3 linked regions of the Oryza sativa Japonica Group genome follow. The protein of the gene in region 2 interacts with the protein of the main gene of each other region in a pairwise test. Links are inferred from orthologs where the notes say so. Each region holds a gene or a part of one and is shown on either strand. Other genes may lie near its edges.

The links.
Region 1: the proteins of transcription factor PCF5 (region 2) and SWI/SNF complex component SNF12 homolog interact in binary tests that used the Arabidopsis thaliana proteins (3 or more experiments, as listed by UniProt). The link is inferred for Oryza sativa Japonica Group from reciprocal best matches to the Arabidopsis thaliana genes TCP4 and CHC1.
Region 3: the proteins of transcription factor PCF5 (region 2) and splicing factor SF3a60 homolog interact in binary tests that used the Arabidopsis thaliana proteins (3 or more experiments, as listed by UniProt). The link is inferred for Oryza sativa Japonica Group from reciprocal best matches to the Arabidopsis thaliana genes TCP4 and ATO.

Annotation. Positions count from the first base shown.
Region 1 is NC_089038.1:19,088,811-19,092,561, forward strand, and holds SWI/SNF complex component SNF12 homolog, read left to right. Parts: upstream 1-1,412; 5' UTR 1,413-1,461; coding exon 1,462-3,023; intron 3,024-3,127; coding exon 3,128-3,212; 3' UTR 3,213-3,476; downstream 3,477-3,751. UniProt on the Arabidopsis thaliana protein: Involved in transcriptional activation and repression of select genes by chromatin remodeling (alteration of DNA-nucleosome topology).
Region 2 is NC_089035.1:6,231,375-6,235,032, reverse strand, and holds the start of transcription factor PCF5, read left to right. Parts: upstream 1-851; 5' UTR 852-1,185; intron 1,186-1,192; exon of another isoform or gene 1,193-1,292; 5' UTR 1,293-1,626; coding exon 1,627-3,003; 3' UTR 3,004-3,105; intron 3,106-3,219; 3' UTR 3,220-3,658. UniProt on the Arabidopsis thaliana protein: Transcription factor playing a pivotal role in the control of morphogenesis of shoot organs by negatively regulating the expression of boundary-specific genes such as CUC genes, probably through the induction of miRNA (e.g. miR164).
Region 3 is NC_089037.1:29,916,960-29,920,710, forward strand, and holds the end of splicing factor SF3a60 homolog, read right to left. Parts: intron 3,711-3,751; coding exon 3,552-3,710; intron 3,448-3,551; coding exon 3,376-3,447; intron 3,283-3,375; coding exon 3,121-3,282; intron 2,047-3,120; coding exon 1,969-2,046; intron 1,679-1,968; coding exon 1,550-1,678; intron 1,243-1,549; coding exon 1,096-1,242; intron 898-1,095; coding exon 751-897; 3' UTR 505-750; downstream 1-504. UniProt on the Arabidopsis thaliana protein: Splicing factor homolog to SF3a60 that may be involved in pre-spliceosome formation. Is necessary for gametic cell fate determination.

The sequences.
Region 1 (3,751 bases), on a different chromosome or scaffold from region 2:
CACTGTGGGCTGGTTTGGTTTGAGGCCTAAATTAGGCTTACCAATATTTGGCAATTTCAATAGTGTTTAGTGTCTATTTGGTTTGAAGCCAAATTTTGGCATGCCTAAGAAAATAGGCCATTTCAATAGTGAACTTAGGCTATTTTGGCTTCAATCCAAACACAACTTTGCCTTACCAAAATTAGTCATGCCAAAACTTGCCAAAATTTGGCATTGACATTTTTCATTATAGAATCAGCCCTATCGCTTAAGGTTCCTGTTGAGTACGATCTTTTTTCGAACTTACAGGGGCGCTGCGACAGCTAAATAAAGCGAGCACTCGGCAACTTCAATCTCACCTCTACCCGCATTGAGGTCAAAACCATCTCTCGATCGGGGCTATACTACTGAGTCGAGTTTGAGGTAGTCCCTTTATGTTTGTACCTTAAAATGGAAAAGGGGCGTGGTGCCTTCTAGCGGGAGCTGTAACACCACTTGGTCCACAAACCAAACCAACCTTGTATACCCATTTTAATATCCCTATCATAAGGGTAATCATGTAAATTCCCCTATAACTAAACCCTAGAGGGTATGAGCCTATACTAGGACTATAAATAGCCCCCTAGGCCATGTAATGGGGTGATCCTAAAATATTTTTACCAATCAATATATTGTTTTACTATTCCAACAATTCATCGAGTTTACCATATCCTTCGACGTGAAACAGTTGTCATTCGACAATAGTATCCTTGAACCACAACACCAAATATCTTGACCCTTCAACTATTAAAACCGTTCCAATTTGACTTCCTTTGGTTTTAGAGGGCGGTTTCGCTGACGTTGCGTCTACATGGCAGCATTGACTTGGTCTATAACGTTGACGTGTCGCTTAGATGGTATTAGAGTTAAAAACATATATGTGGGATCCATTTATCATTCACACACTAAGAAAAAATTATTATGAGCCAACATATAGGACTCACATGTCATCCTCTCCTCACTCCTTGCACTCTCTCCCTTCTCTCTCCTTGCACTCTCTCCCTTCTCTCTATCTCGCTCTCTCCCCTTCGGCCGCATCGCCGCCTGGCGCCGAGCGGCACCATGCTGCCACCTGCATCGCCGCCTGCTGTCCGTCAGTGCCTCTCCTTCACCTCCCACCGCATCGCTGCCTGCCGCCGAGAGGCGCCCCTCATGAAGGGAGAGAGCGAGGAGGAAGAAACGGTGTGAAGGTTTATCTTTCTTCACTACTTGCACGATGATGACGATGTGGAGCTAAAATTAGAAGCCCATGAAGGCTCAACTGTTACAGCCCAGCCCATAAGAAACGGTAGCCCAACACCCAACTCAACCCCCTATCTTCCATTCTCTCTCCTCCCGAAAGTCCGAAACCTCCCTTCCTCGCTCGCTTCACACCCCCCCTCTCTCTCCCCCCCAAACCCTAGCTCCCGATTCAGATCTCGCCTCTCCCTCGCCGCCGCCGCCATGGCCACCGGCGGCAACCCCAACCCGAACTCCACGCCGACCCCTCAGCCGCGCCCGCCCCAGCCGCAGCAGCAGGGCGGCTCCCCGGCGACCCCGCTCGGCCACCTCCGCCCGCCTTCCCTCGCGGGCTCCCCCTTCCAGGGCCTCTTCCACACCCCGCCCCAGCACAACCCGGCCTTCCAGATCCACATGGGCGCCGCCGCCTCGCCGCAGAACCCGCTTATGGCCGCTGCCGCCGCCGCCGCCGCCGCGGCCTCCGCCAAGCGCCCTCCCCAGAAGCCCCCCGCGCGGCCCCCCGCCCCGGGCTCCTCCTCCTCCGGGGGCGGCGCCGCCGCCGCCGCCGCCGCGGCCGCGTCCGCGGCCGCGGCGTACAAGGCCGCTGCCGCCGCGGCCGCCGTGGGGGCGAACTCCGCCGGCGGCGTCGACCTCACCCCGGCCGCCGCGCGGCGCAACAAGAAGCGGAAGCTCCCCGAGAAGCAGCTCCCCGACCGCGTCGCCGCGCTGCTCCCGGAGTCGGCACTGTACACTCAGCTGCTCGAGTTCGAGTCCCGCGTCGACGCCGCGCTGCACCGCAAGAAGGTGGACATCCAGGAGGCGCTCAAGTCACCCCCCGCGCTGCAGCGCACGCTCCGCATCTACGTGTTCAACACCTTCGCCAACCAGGCGCCGCGCACCATCCCGCCGCCCAAGAACGCCGAGCCGCCCACCTGGTCGCTCAAGATCATCGGCCGCGTGCTCGAGGACGGCGCCGAGCTGGACCCCGCCAGCGTCGTGCCCAAGCACAACCCTGTGTACCCCAAGTTCTCGTCCTTCTTCAAGAGGGTGACGATTGCGCTCGACCCGTCGCTGTACCCGGAGAACCCGCTGATCATTTGGGAGAATGCGCGGTCGGCCGCCCCACAGGAAGGGTTCGAGGTGAAGAGGAAAGGGGATAAGGAGTTCTCCGCGAATATCCGGCTGGAGATGAACTATAACCCTGAGAAGTTCAAGCTCTCGCAGCCTCTGATGGAGGTGCTCGGGGTTGAGGTGGACACTCGTTCGAGGGTGATTGCTGCCCTCTGGCAGTACATCAAAGCGAAGAAGCTGCAGAATCCAACCGATCCTTCGTTCTTTATGTGTGATCCACAGTTGAAGAAGGTCTTTGGGGAGGATAAGCTGAGGTTTGCGATGCTATCGCAGAAGATATCACAGCATCTCTCTCCTCCGCCGCCCATCAACTTGGAGCATAAGATTAAGCTCTCTGGGAATGGCGCGCATGCGAGTGCTTGCTATGATGTGATTGTGGATGTTCCTTTCCCTCTGCAGAAGGAGATGTCTGCATTTCTTGCCAACACTGAGAAGCACAAGGACATTGAGGCATGTGATGAGGTGATATCTGCTTCGATCAAGAAGATCCATGAGCACCGCAGGAGGAGGGCATTCTTCCTTGGTTTCAGCCAGTCCCCAGTGGAGTTCATCAATGCACTGATAGCGTCTCAGAGTAAAGATTTGAAGCTGATCGCAGGAGAAGCAAATAGGAATATTGAAAGAGAAAGACGTGCAGACTTCTATAATCAACCATGGTAAGCTCAAGCAAATCTTAAGGCTTTACTCATTGTACTTCCTGCTTGAAACCATATATCAATGTGCTGACTAATAAATTGTTTTCCATTCCACAACGAAACAGGGTTGAGGATGCTGTCATAAGATACCTGAACCGCAAACCGGCTAGCGGTAATGAGGGCCCAGGCGGTGGTGCTGGTGGTTCATGAGGAAAGGGGTTGGTATTACTGTAGTGCCATTTTGGTGTAGAAACAAGCTATCTGTTATGTACTAGTAAAAATTCAGATATGTTAGCGACAACCGATTTGTTTGCTGCTGTGAATGATCTTGGCAGGTGTACCTCCATTGTCTGTCCAAACGAGTTATCTACTTGTATGATTATGTGATAAGTGATCCCTAACTACGGTGGCAGTATGAATTGTCATGCTAATTGCTAAATGCTGAAGGGAAAATGCTCTGTTCTAGTTACCTAACATATAGGTATCATATGTGGGCACAAGTTTTCTCTGTATGATGCTGTGTGTGGCTTATCATTTGTCCCACTGGGGAGGTTGTGGAGGGGGACCTGAGACTCCGAGAAAGCTGTATCTTTTGTATTTGAACATGCTTATTGGAGGGAAAAGGAAATGGAAAGAGTCCCTATCTTTAAGTGCCTGGAGGATCAAGTCTCTTTTGGGCCAGCAGCATATGTTCTCTCTTTTGCTGGATCATCGTGCCTGTCCACTGTTGGCTAACATGTGTGCATATA
Region 2 (3,658 bases):
CGGAGGAAGTACAAGTTTACACTATCCTGTATGTAGATGTGCCAATGAGGGGTGTTTCCTTCTATCTTTTTTGAACAAATCTATGGGCACCATCTCGGTCCCTCGACCCGTTATGTTTTTGGCATCAAATGAACTAAAAATAGCTTGATCTTATTTCCATGCAATGGATCAAACTTGGGGCAAGTTTGGACAATGACGCCACATAAAACCCTCTTTTAGCAAGGTGGGGCTACAAATAAAACACACCATCAATCTATAAACAAGTATCTCAGGGGAAAGGTCTCACATTTGAAACTAATATTGCAACTCTCGACTTTCCAAAAAGGAAAATCATTAACCATTGGCATATACCCTTGAAAAAGCTCCAGTTGCCATCTTACTTGCCTATGCAACTGCCCAACTACAAGAATTATAGTACAAGCACTCTCTAAGAATACCACAAGTTAGCTTCTGAAGAGCATAGATATTCATGTCATGACAAACATGTCTACTGTACAACAAAAAAGAAAAATCGGCTAAGTAGATCACTCCACAATTGTGCGAGTAGATACTAGCGGTTACATATACACGAACGTATATATAAACATAGTTAAAATTGCTATATATTACCATAAAGCTATCGAGATGCGCTTAATTCCTTATCCATGGAGACTAGGGTGTGTGCCTCCGGTTTTTATTTTTTTTCCCAAAGGCACGTACACGTGTGTGTGTTCGAGTTTCATCGCGATTCGATCGTTGTCTACTGTTTTTTAATAATACAACAGATGTCCTAATCATCCACGCATGCATAACCCACAATCCCCCAGCATCATCCATCCCTTCCCAATTCCCAAATCACCACCTCTCTTCATCACTTGGGCTCCAGCCTCCTGCAGCCCCAGCCAAGCTAAGGTAAGCTCCATCTGCTTCTGATACACACACTCACACACAAAGCAGCAGCCAGCATCAGCAGCAGCAGTGTGAAGCAAAAATCTCTATCTCTCTCTCTCCTCACTAAAGCACAAATCCTACTCTTATCATCCTGTCTTCTTGCCTCCCTTCTGCCTCCTGCTCACCAAGCTTCCCACACAAACCCAACAAGAGAGTGAGAGAGGAGCAAAAGCTTTGGCTGGCCGTCCCCCCTGTTAAAATGTGATGTCCAATCCATGGGATTGCGTCTAGTTTAGTCCCCCACTCCTCTCCTGGGTCAGTCCCTCCCTGGCCACCACCTCTTCTTCTTGCAGCCTCCTCCTCCTCCGGGGCCTTCTTCTTGTTGATTCTTTTGATGGTTTTTGTGTTTCTTGTCGACCTAGTTATGGGATCCGGCGAGGTGGATGGACGCGCATTGGAGCAGCAACAGTAGCGGCGGGGAAGAAGGCGGCGGGGGATCTGGATCCGAGGCACCACCACCACCGGGTCACCCACGGCGGCGACGGCGGCGGCGTAGGAGGAGGAGGAAGCGGGGGACAGGAGGAGGCAGATGAGCAGCAGCAGCAGCAGCACGACCACCACCGGCTTCTCCAGCTCCACCACCACCAGGGTGTGCAGCAGGACCAAGAACCGCCGCCTGTTCCCGTCTTCCACCTCCAGCCGGCGTCCGTGAGGCAGCTGTCGGGCTCCTCCGCCGAGTATGCCCTTCTCTCGCCCATGGGCGACGCCGGCGGCCACTCCCACCACCACCAACACGGCTTCCAGCCTCAGCTCCTCTCCTTCGGTGGCGTCGGCCACCACCACCACCTGCATCAGTTCACGGCGCAGCCACAGCCCCCCGCCGCGTCCCACACTCGGGGTCGTGGAGGTGGAGGTGAGATTGTCCCCGCGACGACAACTCCACGGTCGAGGGGCGGAGGCGGCGGCGGCGGCGGGGAGATCGTGGCGGTGCAGGGCGGGCACATTGTGCGGTCGACAGGGCGGAAGGACCGGCACAGCAAGGTCTGCACGGCGCGCGGGCCGCGCGACCGCCGCGTGCGGCTGTCGGCGCACACCGCCATCCAGTTCTACGACGTGCAGGACCGGCTGGGCTACGACCGCCCGAGCAAGGCGGTGGACTGGCTCATCAAGAACGCCAAGGACGCCATCGACAAGCTCGACGTGCTGCCGGCGTGGCAGCCCACTGCCGGCGGCGCAGGCGCGGGCAATGCCGCCGCGCCGCCGTCCTCCTCGACCCACCCCGACTCCGCCGAGAACTCCGACGACCAGGCGCAGGCCATCACCGTCGCGCACACCGCCTTCGACTTCGCCGGCGGGGGCAGCGGCGGGACCAGCTTCCTCCCGCCGTCGCTCGACTCGGACGCCATAGCCGACACGATCAAGTCCTTCTTCCCCATGGGTGGCACCGCAGGCGGGGAGGCATCGTCGTCCACCACGGCGGCGCAGTCGTCGGCCATGGGTTTCCAGAGCTACACGCCTGACCTCCTGTCCCGCACCGGCAGCCAGAGCCAGGAGCTCCGGCTGTCGCTGCAGTCCTTACCAGACCCCATGTTCCACCACCAGCAACATCGCCATGGCGGCGGCGGCGGCGGCGGCAATGGCACCACGCAGCAGGCGCTCTTCTCCGGCGCCGCCAATTACTCGTTCGGCGGCGGAGCCATGTGGGCCACCGAGCAGCAGGCGCAGAACCAGCGCATGCTGCCGTGGAACGTGCCCGACCCCGGCGGCGGCGGCGGCGCCGCCTACCTGTTCAACGTGTCGCAGCAAGCGGCGCATATGCAGGCGGCGGCTGCGGCGCTGGGTGGCCACCAGAGCCAGTTCTTCTTCCAGAGGGGACCCCTTCAGTCCAGTAACCAGCCCTCCGAGCGAGGATGGCCGGAGACCGTCGAAGCCGACAACCAGATGAGCCACCACCAAGGAGGGCTGAGCCCCTCCGTGTCGGCGGCCATCGGTTTTGCCGCTCCCGGCATCGGCTTCTCCGGCTTCCGCCTCCCCGCGAGGATACAGGGCGACGAGGAGCACAACGGCGGCGGCGGCGGCAATGGCGACAAGCCGCCGCCGCCGTCGTCTGTCTCCTCGGCTTCTCACCACTGACCGCAGCAGTGGCGAGCAGATGACTTCACCACCACCAATCCACCATGAGCAAACACCACACCATGTACCAGACTATCAGCTAGCTCCTCCACTTCCATCACGGTGAGAAAAAAAAACCGAGAATTCTCATGGCTAACCTGCATTAGTTCAGAATTTTTCTCGTGTTAGTTAGCTGATCAATCTTGTGCTGCTGGTTTTGGTGTTCTTGACATGCAGGAATTGTCGATTGCATTCGGGAGGAGCAAAGTTTGGAGGTAGCACAAGTGCACTACTACTGATGCTACTACATATCGGTTGGTTGGTTGGTTGGTTTTCCATCGATCTCTTCTGCTGCTGCGCATGTCATTGGTTTTTGTTTCAAGAATTCACTCGGAGCTTCTTAGAATTAGGCTTGTGAGAATGCAGCAACACGATGGCAAGCTTTAGCTTAGCTTAGCAAGCCTCTGTGTCTGTTGGCTGTTGCGTTGCGCTAGGTGTAGTTGATCGATGTAGGTTCGAGCTTGCTTTGCTTTGTTTTGATTTTTACTCTTTTGTTGCTGATGCATGGACATGCTTTTGCTTCCTCCTGTGGGTTCAGGAGCAGTTGCTACTAGACCGATGTTGTTCTCAAAACTGATAAGTGGGATGGTGATGGATTGGGAGAGGAGCCTATCTT
Region 3 (3,751 bases), on a different chromosome or scaffold from region 2:
GTGTTGCTTGCAGGGTTCCCCCCCTGCCCACACGATTTAAGTATTCTTCTTATAAACTCTGGATTTTGTCGTTTTGAGTTTTTAATAGATTCGGGTTGTGACTCCATGCGAAAATTACCCTAGAGAGGCCAATCAGTAGTAGCTGTATTTTACTGCCAATTGGGCGTTCTCTAAAACTATAAATAGGTAGTTGGAAGCAATTGGCAGGGATAGGTTAGGCCTGCTGATTTGCGACATATTTGTTGTGTTTTTATCCCAATTCCTATCAGCGTTGATGGCTGGCACTAAAGCGACATTTTAGTCTTGGAGACCAAACATCGAGACATTGAAAACTACACCCTCGTTCCTTCCTCTCTTTTTTCTCTTTGGCCTTTTATGCTTTTTTATAATCTTTGTGTGCGCATTCTAGATCATGTTTAAACCTATCAAAATTAGATGTATAGGACGCATGCCTCTAGAAGTATCCATTCTAGTGTTCTGGATATAAAGTTTGACTCCGACATCTCCGACACAATGGCGATTTAACCCTGGATTGTGCAAACAGTATACCAGATGGTCAAACAGGGTACAGGGATATAGTGCAATATACCATGTAGTAGAAAAGAAACATTTGAGCAATGGAGTACCCATGGTGCTACAAGTATCGAGTGCTACAACTACCCAGAGGTCAACGAAGTTCAATAGAACAAATGGCCAACCACTTCAGCAGCAGCCCATAGGGGCCAAAATGTTAGGATCGCATCAGGGATTCTAAATCAGGCCCTGGCGCTGCAGATCAGTGTAGGTCTTCTTGTTGTAGATATTTCCCTCCTGATCTTCGTACTCTTCTTCTAGGTCTGGCCGCCACTTGTTCAGCCCTTGTCGTTGTTGAATTTTCTCCCAGAGTTCTTTTGCCTCCTGAAAACAGAAATAAGAGGTGTCAATTGCCCCTTCCATTACCAATTTACCACATTCGCAGCAACAGTAATTTCTGAGAACATGTATAAAAACAGCCAATATGGGAAGATTAAGCAAAGTACTCATTTCTCTCAAATTTCTGAGAGAACAAATTAAGCTATTCAGTGGATGTACAGGTAGCATAAAGTGATGATTTACCTGGATGGATGTGATTTCATTGAAGTTCTTAGTATTAGGAATTCCAAGACAGCGCATCCCGTGCTGATGGCGCCACTCCTTGAAATGCCGCTCATAAGCCCGTCGCCCCCAGTAGCTGTGGTTTCCACATATCTCACATTTGAATTCCTGACAAAAAAATCATAGCAATTAAGATATGTTAACAATTTAAAATCATATGTAAATATCTAGAACTGTATGGGAAAATGATGCCACCAATGCTGAAGCTCAGGGTATTATTGAAAAATGAATAAAAATACAAAAAATAAATGGAGCATGTGAGAATGCAAATACCATTTGTAGTCTATAGAAATTAGCATTCTGTTTTGGCAAAACAGGAATTTTGCAGCTCTAAACATTGGTAATACTAAGATATGATTTAGCAAAACAGCCATGAACTAAATAATCTTTAGATATAAACCAATGAGATATTTACCTGACCAAGACCATGGAGCTTATATAGCCAATAGGGTATAGGTTTGCCGTCCCAACCCATCGGCAACTTAAGAGGATTGTAGATTTGTTGGTCTTCATCATCACTTTCACTATCAGCTTGCACTTCTTCCTATAGAAAAAAATACAAAGGACAAAAGGTTCAGTACTTTGAGTAGAATATTATTATTTTACTTCTGTGAAGTACGGAGAAGAAAATAGAGGAAAAGTAGAACCAAGTTGTGAACTCTTGGACAAAATTAGAAGCGAAGTATCACACTAATAACTAAAATTCTAACTAAACATATCTTTACTCCCTCTGTTAAAAAATGTATGACCCAACATGACCTTTGACCTTTATTCTACTATCAGGGCCTTTTGCAGATCAGAAAACAGAATTTAAGAGGGCTGCATGCAGATTACCTCTTCTCGTTCTGCTTCCATTTCTTCATATGTGAGAGTCAGCTTCTTCTCTGCATTTTCCTTTGTCCGTACAATGATCTGCATAAATAGCATAAGATATATCAAAACATGAGCACAGGTTAACTTCATTATGGACATAAAAATGGTGTATTAAAAATATAGGCACACATTAAATATGGGATATCATGATATCAGCAAACACAGCAATTACAAGTGTTAACCTTGCTATATATTCTTGGTAGTAAGGAACAAAACAGAGTACTTTTTAACTTCTCCTACATGTAATTTAATATGTTTGTTAATTATCTTGTGCACAAAATCTAAGGTTTTCATGACTGCCTAGCAGAACAAGCATCTTGTGAAAAGTTGATGCTCCTGATGCATACTCAGGTGGTTTTGCTTTGCTATTCGTGTATTCCATGCTTAAGTGCCTAGATAACCGTTTTTGTGCCTTTTACAGCACTGGTTATGCAGTACACCACACATGAGAGTGAAATACCATGCTATGGGTGTGTTCGGATGCCCCTTTTCCCAAATCCTCTCCCTCGTTTTCCGCGCGCACGCTTTTCAAACGGCTAAACGGTGTGTTTTTTGCAAAAAGTTTCTATATGAAAGTTGCTTTAAAAAAAATCAAATTAATCCATTTTTTTAAAAAAAAATAGCTAATACTTAATTAATCACACGCTAATGGACCGCTCCGTTTTCCATGCAGAGGGATCCGGTTGGGATCCAGGAATAGCGAACACACCCTATATCAGACTACTAGACTTCTAGCCAATCAAGATAAGAAAGCATCCTGAAGATCTAACAAATTCAAAGGATCATACTATACAGCATGGATTAATAAATCCCAGTAGGTTACACTTATCAAAGCCGAAGTAGAATATATAAAGATTGACTACACAAGTACTCCCTCCGTCCCATAAAAAACCAACCTAGTACCTGATGATGTTGACACATCCTAGTACTACGAATCTGGACAGATATATGTCCAGATTCATAGTACTAGGATATGTCAAAGTCAGGTACTAGGTTGATATTTTGTGGGACAGAGGGAGTAAAAGAGAAGCATGTCATTAGATAATGCAGCTATACAAGTCCATATCAAAGGAAAGATATATACAGCCACACATAGAGCAAGGCAAAGCTGACCTCATCTAGTAGCTCACAAAGGCGCCTCATCTTTACTTCCATTAAAGCAATTTCCTTCTTCAAATTATCCTTGAAATTGTTACCATTAGAAGTAGCATTGGAGACAGAACTGTGTGAACCTTTGGCAAAATGCTTACGATCCAATTGTTCCAAGGGTGTATGCTGCAAGATATAATCATCGACAAGTTCAGAATATTTGGTAAATATTTAAAAAAAGATGAGCTGAATATCCAGGTTTAAAAGTACATTAATTACCTTCAACAAGAAAAGTCGCTCAGCACGCTGTTGAACAGTACCACCACTTTTTAATCCACGAGCAGCTAAAGCCTGGCAAAAACCAAAACCAATCAATAGGGTACAAAAGCCCAACGAAAGTTGAATAATAGGACAGGAAAAAAAAGGTAATAATAACAACGTATTGCAAGTCATACCTCTTTCAACTTTTCTGGGCCCAGCTCAACAAGCTCTTCAACAGTGGTATAGTAATCAAGGTCTATTACTGACTCTTGTGCAGATTCTTTCTCTGGGTCCTTGCTCTCCCATCCAGGCACTTCACCATTGATCCACTGTTCTTCAAACTCGCTTTCCAACTGAACAAAGTGTACTGCTTGTTAGTTTTTACTTGTTGTCT